Linked DNA regions of Solanum lycopersicum. The protein of the gene in region 2 interacts with the protein of the main gene of each other region in a pairwise test. Links are inferred from orthologs where the notes say so. Each region holds a gene or a part of one and is shown on either strand. Other genes may lie near its edges.

The links.
Region 1: the proteins of SPL (region 2) and TCP4 interact in a two-hybrid assay, tested with the Arabidopsis thaliana proteins (3 studies listed by BioGRID, with this or other methods). The link is inferred for Solanum lycopersicum from reciprocal best matches to the Arabidopsis thaliana genes SPL and TCP5.
Region 3: the proteins of SPL (region 2) and INO interact in binary tests that used the Arabidopsis thaliana proteins (3 or more experiments, as listed by UniProt). The link is inferred for Solanum lycopersicum from reciprocal best matches to the Arabidopsis thaliana genes SPL and INO.

The regions. Positions count from the first base shown.
Region 1 is NC_090802.1:61,726,855-61,730,120, reverse strand, and holds TCP4 (TCP transcription factor 4), read left to right. Parts: upstream 1-902; 5' UTR 903-1,078; intron 1,079-1,363; 5' UTR 1,364-1,401; coding exon 1,402-2,427; 3' UTR 2,428-2,610; downstream 2,611-3,266.
Region 2 is NC_090806.1:68,525,026-68,528,748, reverse strand, and holds SPL (SPOROCYTELESS/NOOZLE-like protein), read right to left. Parts: upstream 2,559-3,723; 5' UTR 2,000-2,558; coding exon 1,391-1,999; intron 1,291-1,390; coding exon of another isoform or gene 1,288-1,290; coding exon 1,168-1,287; intron 1,083-1,167; coding exon 753-1,082; 3' UTR 543-752; downstream 1-542. UniProt on the Arabidopsis thaliana protein: Transcriptional regulator of sporocyte development. Acts as an adapter-like transcriptional repressor recruiting TPL/TPR corepressors to inhibit TCP transcription factors. Required for nucellus and embryo sac development.
Region 3 is NC_090804.1:448,625-452,389, forward strand, and holds INO (axial regulator YABBY 4), read right to left. Parts: upstream 2,442-3,765; 5' UTR 2,169-2,441; coding exon 2,085-2,168; intron 1,999-2,084; coding exon 1,867-1,998; intron 1,663-1,866; coding exon 1,548-1,662; intron 1,339-1,547; coding exon 1,290-1,338; intron 1,165-1,289; coding exon 1,089-1,164; intron 955-1,088; coding exon 889-954; intron 439-888; coding exon 382-438; 3' UTR 168-381; downstream 1-167. UniProt on the Arabidopsis thaliana protein: Essential for the formation and the abaxial-adaxial asymmetric growth of the ovule outer integument.

The DNA.
Region 1 (3,266 bases), on a different chromosome or scaffold from region 2:
ACTTCAATTTTGATCGAAATTGCTATTTCGATATGAAACTTTATGGAGAACCTTTTAACCTTCCCCACTCCTCCAAACTATTTAATAGTGTATTTTAAAGGTATATTTATGTCCACGTAGACACATTACTATTTATAATTATGTAATATTTTTATGTCCACGTAAATACATATATACCTTTAAAATACACTATTAAATAATGTAGGGGTAAAATGTCTTTTCTAAAATTTGATACTACAACAATAATATCAATCAAAGTTCAAATGTATTTCACATCATTTTCCCTAATAACTGATTATTATTTAATATAATTATTCTACATGTAACCGACAATATCTCACAACAAACATATATATATATATTCAAAATTTTAAATTCGGATGATTAGTCATTTATTTTAATTTGTACTACTACTATAGTTTGCAGAAAAGCAATAAACCCTTTTCTTTTTTTTTTCTTCTAACCCTAGAGTGGTCCTTGTGAGGTTAACAGTGTACCTTCCTTTCTTAGCATCATTAAATAGAATCAAAACTTAAAATTAAAATATGAAACTACTACAATAACTAGCTTCTTGACTAATAGACTGTTAAAAAAAAAAAACTATTCATGATGGAGTAGTCTAAATACGAGAAATTAAATTTCTATTACATTATTATTTGTAGCCTATGGACAAAGAATTATCGCGATTATATATACAAATACTATAAAAGTTTATATACACAGTAGATACATAATACTTAAAACTTTACATTTTTCTCAACCCTAGAATTGAATTACACACGAGTAAGCGCCACGTGGCCTTCTACTTTCCTCTTTTGAGATAATATTATAACATAGTGAGAATCTAACATTGCTTCTTTTTCTACAAACCATAACTTATCCTTGTAAATTTATTCTCTCTTGTTTCTCTTTTGGTCAAATTTTGTCCATAAACTCATTTTTTCCCCCAAGCCTTGGGAGAAATTATTATAAAAGAAGTTAAATGTTATCAAGAGTTGTTAATTCCATGTTGAGATTTTGCTAGCCACTCAAAGATATATATACAAGTTGTAGTTTATCTTCTACAAAACCTAATTATGTAAGTACAATTCATGATTCTTATAGTAGTAATTGTTTATACAAAATTTTAAACATCTATTTTTTTAGATCTTAGTCATTTTTACAAAGTCTTGGGTGTTTAGTGAAATGATTTTGGAGGTTACCCTAATATTAATCACAACTCCAATTTTCCCCCAAAAATTGCACTATGTACACAAGAAAATTTCCATTGATGGAGTTTTTTTTTTTTGTGTGTATAGTATAATTTGATAATATTTTATCTCGATCTAATAGATGCTTAATATTTTTCTTTGATTTTTACTAGATCGATGCTGATGAAGAACGATATATGATATACATATCATGAATTCATCGAGTGGAAATAATTTTGAGACGAAACAAGAATCAAATAATGATAGTAGATTGGCCTCAAAGACGACTAGTGCACCACCATCGAGTACTTCAAGGCAATGGGGAGCTAATAAAAACCCAAGAATAGTACGCGTATCGCGTACTTTTGGAGGGAAAGATAGGCATAGTAAGGTGTGCACCATAAGGGGGCTTAGAGATCGAAGAATTAGACTATCAGTTCCAACTGCAATTCAATTGTATGATCTACAAGACAGGCTTGGCCTGAGCCAACCTAGTAAAGTTGTAGATTGGCTCTTAGAAGCGACTAAACTTGATATCGATACTCTTCCTCCACTTCCTGTACCACCTGAGTACTTCACTCGGTTTCAACAACCATCTCATGAAGAGTTCTCTGATGTCCGTGCTCAATGGTTGAACGCGAACACATCTTATTTGGAACATGGGAGGAACAAGTCAATCGCTTCAAATGAGGAATCAAATCAAGAGGATAATATGTTTACCTTAGGAAATCAACGATCATCTAATTTACCAGGCATGCCTTTCAATTCTTATAACTATCAATGGGATCATCAGCCTAATTCGAATTTGTCTTTAGGTCATTTTGGACATAATCATTCATTTTCATCCCAAATAGATGATGATCAATCTCATCAAAATACTAGTTTCCCTCTATCTTTGGGATCATCATCTTCGCCTTTTCCCTCGAGTTCTCAATTGTATTTCAATCCAATAACAACAACATTTCAACCTATAGTTCCATCTCCTAACTATATAACAAATCATCATCCCATTGAGAGTCATGATCCAAGGGCTAATATGAACCATTTCAATTTCTTAAGCTCAACTACTTCACACAATAATCAACTTGTGATGCCAACTCTTAATTTGATTAGTTCCCAAATGAAACCCTTTAGTCTCAATAATGATCCTAGATGGATGAGTTCCAGAGATGATGAAGATGACGATGATGACGATGATGATGATGATAATCAACCACATGAAGGTCGCGCAATTTGATTCTAAGCCAAGTGGAGGAAATGAATCTTCGTCTTTACTTCAAATATTTTGAATTAAAGTTGTTGTCCTGGATTATAATCATGCTACATTATTCCTTCTTCACAGGTACAACAAATAATTAAAGTGAATCATTCTATTTCTTATACCATATAGGTTTATAAAGTTTTAATCTCTATTCTGAAATATACAAATATTAATCTGTAGTTTTTTTTTTTGGGTGATTCAAGTGGTATAAATCTACATTATTATTGGTATTGGATTAACCTTTAATTTATACAAATTGAAAGTGTGTTTAGCATTAATTTTTTCAATTTTGTTTTTCTTGGATTTGCATCATTAATATGTCATGGTTTAACCGAAATCTCGATAGTAGAAACTCTAATCGAAGCAAAGGTTGGGTTTATTCTCGACTCTCACAACCTTAAGGTAATTGCAAATATGATGCAACAGATCTGGAACTATAGTTACGTAGTCAAGTCAATCAGTTGTTGTTGGTATCTTCTTCTCATTTTTCTTTATTTCATTATCAGAGCTCCGAGAAGTAAGAGATAAAGATGTTGAAGAATATAGTGAAAAATCCATAATAGGATCTAACCACAAAGTATGAATGATTTTAGCCAATAAAAATATTTTATAGAAGGTAAACGAAACTATTCAAGTTCAATTTTGTCATGTAAAATTGATACATAACATATCATGCTTAGCTGTGTACTAATGATAGACGTAATAACTAGTAATATAATTAATTACTCCATTAATTTGTTTTAATCTAACTAGAAAACAAAAAGTTTCTTTCATATCTAATTAGGTTTTTAGACGAATTAGTTGGAAAATAAGAG
Region 2 (3,723 bases):
CCATAAAGCACTTTTTTTCTTTTGTTTTTTTAGTGTCTGATCAGTATATTATGCTTGACTCCCATAAAGAGATACTCTTCTATTGTATTCCTTTTGGTTTAATTAGTGGCTACCCCTTTTAAGGAAAATATACAAACTCTCTCTTTTGTAAATATTAATTACCTACCCCCTTGTTTAATTACACCCCCACCCCACCATAATAAATACTAGCTTGCTAGGGTTTTGGTAGATTATGCTTCCACTGGACTTGCAACAGATTAAGACATAGAGAGACAGGAAGGAGTTTATAGATTTTAGATTCTAGAAAAGATAGGTTTTGGATATGTTATTTATACTATATTATAATCGTGATCTTTAGACCAGCTTACGTTATTATACATCTAAACTAATTTTAGTCTATGTTATTGTTTTCAATCCGTCCCGCATAATTTGAAACAATTGATCATGAACTCTTAAATAAATATAAGATCTAGAAAGAAAAAAAATAGTGAAGCATCTACATCTCACTGACACACAATCCCAAGAGTAGAGAGAAAGAGATATAGATACAATAAAAACCCAGAAAATGTATTGCTCCATTTTGGAGAAGTAATAACAAGTAGTACTAGCTAATTCAGATAAACCAAAATGGTAAAAATAAAGTAGTGTTTGGGTTTTTCATCAGATAAATTTTCACACAAGTGTGAAAAGACAAAATTCAGAGAAATTAAACCATATACTTTTTCAAATGATTCTGTAGAAAGAAAAAAAAACTAACAAGAAAGCTTCAGTGAAAGATCAATGGAACTGGTAGGTGTAGTAGTAGTAGTAGTATCTGCAGCCCAAGATATTGTAGTAACAGAAGAAGCTTCACCATTAATAATATTTCCAGTTGCTGCTGCTGCAGCAGCAAATGAAGAAGATTCTGGTGAATTATAAGCATTCATCGTCGTTGCTTCATTCTCGAAACAACTTTTGTAAGTATTAGTGCTTTTGCTGCTGATTTTTTCTGGAAAAAAATCATACTCCATCATTACTGCTCCTTCATCGGATGACAACGCGGATGAACTTCCCTTTCTATGGATTGCCACAATCTCTACGCCCTACAAATCACTTAGTTTTCAGTTTTTCGAAGCGAACAATTGAATAACATTAGGGCTAGCTAGTGCAATTTTATTTTTGTTTTACCTTTTGTTGATGGCTAGGTAAACTGTATGAGTGAAGCAAAGGCTTTGTTCCAGAATCTTCCTTTTCTCTGATCATGTCCTCCATATGAACGCTAATTTCTTCTCCATTGATCATGCGTTTCTTCTTATGATAACGAAGAAGGAAAATGTGAATAAATTACCAAAATTATAAATTAAATTAAAAAAAATGGAAGGAGAACAATTTGCGTTTTATATACTCATACTTTGTTGCATGATCGGCAGCGATCGGAGAAACATGAGTTGTTGCTGCTAAACAGATTTGGCATTGGATACAGCTCCTTTGATTTCTCAGTACTGGGCTTAGAAGTTGCAAATCCGTAGAGATTCATCTGAGATTGAAACTGATGATGATCATGAGAAGAAATCATCAACTGATTTGTACTACTAGATCCAATAAACCCAGTATTCACAACTTTTTGTTGCATAAAAAAATCATTAGGGCTCACTGCACACAATTTGGGGAACTGAAGTACTGGTGAAGAGTTCAAAATAGAATTACTATAATTTCCAGGATCAGCACTAGCACTACCACCGCCGGTAAATGATGAAAGAGGAGTTAAATTAGGGAAATTGTTATTAGAGTAATACTGATGATTATGATGAACGCCATGGATAGTACTGTTTTTTATCTGATCTTGTACTCGAAGACGTTCGAGTTGTTCAACTCCCATTCCTCTTTGTGGTTGCTTCTTCTTCTTCTGTCCATTTTTACTCGACCTTCTACGTCCTCCCGTTGAGGTCTGGTTCATTGTTTGATGATTTTCCTGAGGAATAGGATGATGATCTAAAGAAAACTGAAGAGAAGTAGCCATTTTCAATGGAACAGTAGTTGAAATTTTGTGAGTTGGTGGGGTGGGGAAGAGGCAGTAAGAAAGGTGTTTTTGGTGCAGAGAAAAAACACCAGAGAGACTACAGATGAGAAATGCAACAGAACATGGTCTGGCTAGCTATGGTGTTTTTATCTGTTACTGATCTTGTTGTCTTTTATACACACATAATATGTGATTATTTTCTTTTTTTTAATTTCTTTTTTTACTCTGACCAGGGAAAGTGATATATATAGTACAATTATAAATTAACAGTTATTTCTGGTGGTTTAACTTTCTTTTATTTGAGTTTAAAGTAATACAAGTAATAATTTTTATTTAAATCTCAGGTACATGTAGATTTTTTTTTTTTTTTTTTGGAATGATTTGTTAATTTCTATGGTGATTATATTGGGTTTTATTATACTTGAATTTGATGAAATTAAGTCTAGAATTTTTAAAATAACTTCACGAGTTAATGATAAGGTATTCATACACTATCTTCTTCCCAACTTTGTCTTGTAGTATTTTGCTAAATATTTTTGTTGTTTACTAAAAAGTAATTTATAATTTAATTTTTAAATATTTTATTTGTGAATTTAATTAAGATGTGTATTAACGATATAATTATTCAAAGATATTTATATATTAGCCCTTCTTTGTAATATTTAAAAAGGAACACATGACAGTATGATGTAATAGTATAAAAATATTTTATTCGGTAAGTATATACAATTTAAATTGTTTATTGATTATCTATTTATGATCACTAATTATTGAGCCTGGTTTCTAATTAGATCAGAAAAGTAATATGTGATACATTAAAAAAAAGGTCTTTGGACAAAATTAATTAATATAATTATTTCTTCAAACTTTAATTATTTTTCTCTGCTAAAAGAATCTTACAAAGAAAATTGCAAATTGAATTTAAAAGGAGCCTAAGTATTCAACAGTACTGACGAACGAGTTATCGAGTATTTGGATTAGATTAAAAGTTATTCAAATCTATTTTTGAGTTATTTTTGACTTTTGAAAGTGTTTGACAAATATAAAAATAACTTAAAATAAGTTAGAAAATATTTCGCAGGATTAAAAATAATTTAAAATAAGTTAAAAACCAAAAGTAATTTTTTATTTTAAATGTAAATACATTTTTTAAATCAATTTAAACAAGCTCTTATTATTGTTTCTTGTCCCTCAAATTTTTAAAGAGTTTTAAAAACCTTTGAAGGATAAATGTACAGTTCTAATGTCAAATTTCCAAAATTTATTTATTTATAAAATATTTTTTAAAAGAACAATCAATTTGTGTTCAAAAGCTAAATTTCTTTAACTTTTTGAAATAAAAAACTTTTGGTACATGTACTATGTTAAAGAGCATTTTAATTTTTTTCTTCCAAAAATTTAGCCAAACACTCATTTTCTAAAGCTGATATTCTAAACTTTTTATGGATTCATAATAACTACAAAAATTACTTATATACACATATTAAAATACCTAATAAAATCAATTATTATTATAAATTAATTTAAAATTACTATAAAATATTATAAACTTTATATATCGAATCGATTAAACATGTTTGAATATTAATCAAACTAACTACTACGGTAAAGAAAAAATAACATTAAAAAGTTGTAAAGAGCCTAAACAAACAGTTGTAATTCTCCATACATTACTTATATTAAAACAGCAAAAGAGATGATTGTGTATTGTCAGTTGAGAACAA
Region 3 (3,765 bases), on a different chromosome or scaffold from region 2:
GGACATTTTATATTATTTAGGGATATATTTGAATATTTCCAATTATTTATGGGCATATTCTGAAGTATTGCATTTAAGTTAATCTAAACAATTAAAATAAAAAGATTCATCAAATATTATTTGGTTAATTTTTTTATGTATATATATATATATTGTAATGCATCAAATACATAAATTATTATTATATATATGTCACTACTTTCAAACTTCGAAAAGTTGCAAACATAAACTTCAATGACCCTATTAATTGACAATAGCATCTTTAACACAAATAGAAATTGAAACCAACAGTACTAATAGCAAGAAAATATCACATACTTCAGTTCTTCAATTTCGAGTTCATTAAGATCTCTTCACTCATGAAACGGAGTCGCCTTTCATTCAAGGAATCAAACCGTTGCTATCTCTTGGGACCATGGAGTTTCTTGCAGCAGAAACCTATATATAAAAGGTTTAATTTTAACAGACATCAATGAATCCGTTGATACCAATTAAGGGAAATATTATTACTAATACTTTGATATGTATGGTAGTTGGGGCAGCTATTCAATCCAATTAAAATTATTGTCATCATGTTTTAATATCAAGAAATTATTTTTTAGCGTAGAACATGTCATAATTTTATTACTCCCTAGAAAATAAAGAATTAGTGATGACGCACATATTTCATAATAATTTACGGTAATTTTATGTTATAATAATACAAAATATTTGGTAGAAGCTTTTTAGCTATACAATTAGCTAGTTTCATGTGAATGTTCAAAAGTTAAAACATTAGTATATGAAATGTACTTCTGTTTGTCCATTTTTGGATTATCACTTAGGTTTCTTCAATCATTATGCAAAAAATTTCAATTGCCAATTTCATTTAACCATGGGTGTATATACCTTTGCCATTTTCCTCTCTCCAAGACTACAGCCTCCTCTATGTTGACTTGGTGGAAAGTGGGCCCACTGAAATAAAAATCAATTAATTATTCAAAAATTAGTTGCATTTTATGGTATTTCATATAACCAATAACATATTTAGGAGCTATTATCTTTTTCAAGATATTTATTAAGGGTAAATCAATAAAAGTATATCTTACATTTTTTGCTGCTGTACTGAAAGCTTGCTTGTGAGTCATGTTGGGGTATAGGGTCTTCAGCCTCTTGATCTCTTCTCTGTAAAAATAATAAATTAAATATTGTCAAATAATTTTTAACATAACATAATATAATTATTAGTCTATAATAGTTACGATAGTTTATGATAATTAATTAGGATAATTATTAAACTGAAAATGTACTTGATAAAGCAATTATAAGCCGAAGGAGCTCTCTGTCTCTTCTCTGGAGCTGAAAAAAAAAATGTAGTATGATTAATTAGACATGTATGTCCTTATAATTATTACAAGTAACATACATAATAAATAAATAATTACAAATTTTTTTTCTAGCTAGGAAGACCGAGTGGAATCAAAGAAATTGTTAGGCTGATCACTAAATAAGTATAAATAGGTGCAAAAGGAAACTTTGTTCTATCGGAACGAAGAACGAAACTTTACGTTTATTGACGACTTGATTAAGTGGAAGAACATTATTCTCCAATTGATCTTCTTCATCTGAGTTTGAATTCTTCTTATTAGCATCATCAGTTTCATCCTTGTCAACTTCTGGTGGCTTTGGCCGTTGAAAGTACAGAAAGAAGAATTTAGCTTATATACGCCGATAATATATCTATTTATACGTACTCAAATTTTTGATATGTTGTAATAGGTAAGCTATCTTATTTTTCTTTCAGGTAAGACATTAATTATGTATAGTTATCTTTAACTGACTTAATAATATAAAAATAAATTATATTGTTAGAGTATAGAAGTTAACCTGATGAGTTTGGTCGAAGGAAGCAAAGAGATGAAGAGAAGGTTTAATCAAGTTGAGAGAGAGGAGAGTAGTGCAATGCCCACATCTCACTGTTACTACTTTGTTGCACAAGCTGCTGCATGGCACACTAACCTGCATTTTTTAAATTGAGATGATATTAAGAAGTAATTATATGAGTTTACTAGTAACTTAAATTAATGAATAAATTTGAATTTTACAAGTAATATTGTAGTACAATAGCCACATTGCACATAGCATATTGTGTCTTGGAGTTCAAACAAATGGTTATTCAATGTTGACATCTTTTCCTCTTGATCTTCTCAATCTCTTTCTTGGTTTTTACTGTCTTTTATAAAGTGGAGTGAGAGAGGAATCTAGAATGGAATTGAGTTATTTATACATAGAGAAACAAGTAATATGTTTGACAAATAATTTACTTGAGACGAGGGTCGATATGAAACAGCCTTTTCAGCTACTCCATGACTATTATAAAGATAGAAATAACGTCAACATACATGCACCTGCTAAGATTAATATCACTAGAATTTAATATCTCCAGAATAAAAACTCTTTTTACTAAGATTTGATTTTAAGCCACAAATTGTATTGATACGTTTAATGTCATGTATATATATATACTTATAACCAACCTAAAAACATTATCATTCATGTATATGACTTATTTTTAATTACTGCAAGTATTGAATAGAGGTTGTTATTAATCGGAAAACAACATTTCAATATATATATATATATATATATATATATGAAGAGCTGTGTTTGACTATGTTTTTTCCCTTCTCATGTATCCACAGCACACATTGATTGTTGATTTAAATGATTCAAGTTAGTAAGTTTTAGTAATTTTTTCAGGTTTCCCATGGGGTTGATGGGCTGGCTAGACTGGGCTCATGCTTGTTTTGTTTAAACAGTAACTTTCATCTCATTTATAAGGCCTATTCCTATCTCTTTCACATATATCAAAGTATATATATAGGAAATGAGGTATATGATGAGGATTTGTCTTTCTTGAAACAAAGCAAATTGTATACTATAGTTGACTACAAGAAAAATGCTAGTCTCTATCTATTTAATTTCTATGTATTAATTAATTAATGTTAGTGTAACAAATGTTATCACAAAGAAATGAATCTTGGGTTTAAAATTAATTGCAAAAACTAGTTATTATCCAAATTATATATATTTAAGGAGATCGTCACTCATATCTTAAAAGTCTGATATGTGAGACTCTATCTTCAGTACCCCTTCGCCTTTACCACACACTCACGGTTGTATATGGAGGCTCAATATCGAAAATTAAAATCAAAATGAGTCCTGATTTGATATATACCATGCATGGAAAAAAATAGATCTCGAACGTCTTAACTTAATCCCAAAAATTAATTCAAGAAGTGAGGATTGCTCAAATCATAATAAAGAGATGATTCATCTCTTGAATGGCTGATGTGAGACTCTTAATAGTTGTAGTAAGGGTTTAAGATCTATAAATTATTGCAATATGTTTGATGAACTTCCCAACACGGCTAACATATCTGCTTGAGTTATAAACAAATTAATTAGATTATTTAGATGTCCTAAACAAAAAAAAACAAAAGAAACCAAGAAACTTCATTTTGATACGTTTCTGTAAAAGAAAAGTTTGGTATTATTATCTATTCTATTTATGTAAAATAAAGTGAGATGAGGCACTACGTCTCCCCATTTTAAATGTTTTTATATAATTGGATGTATGTAATTTGATTGGTTGGTGTGTTTAAAAAAATAAAAGAGTTTTTATTTTATTTTAAGATATATAAAAAATGTTAAAATTATTTATATATAATTTAGATAAATATTGTGAAAGGTAAAAGTGTGAGACGAATATACAGAACTGGAAAG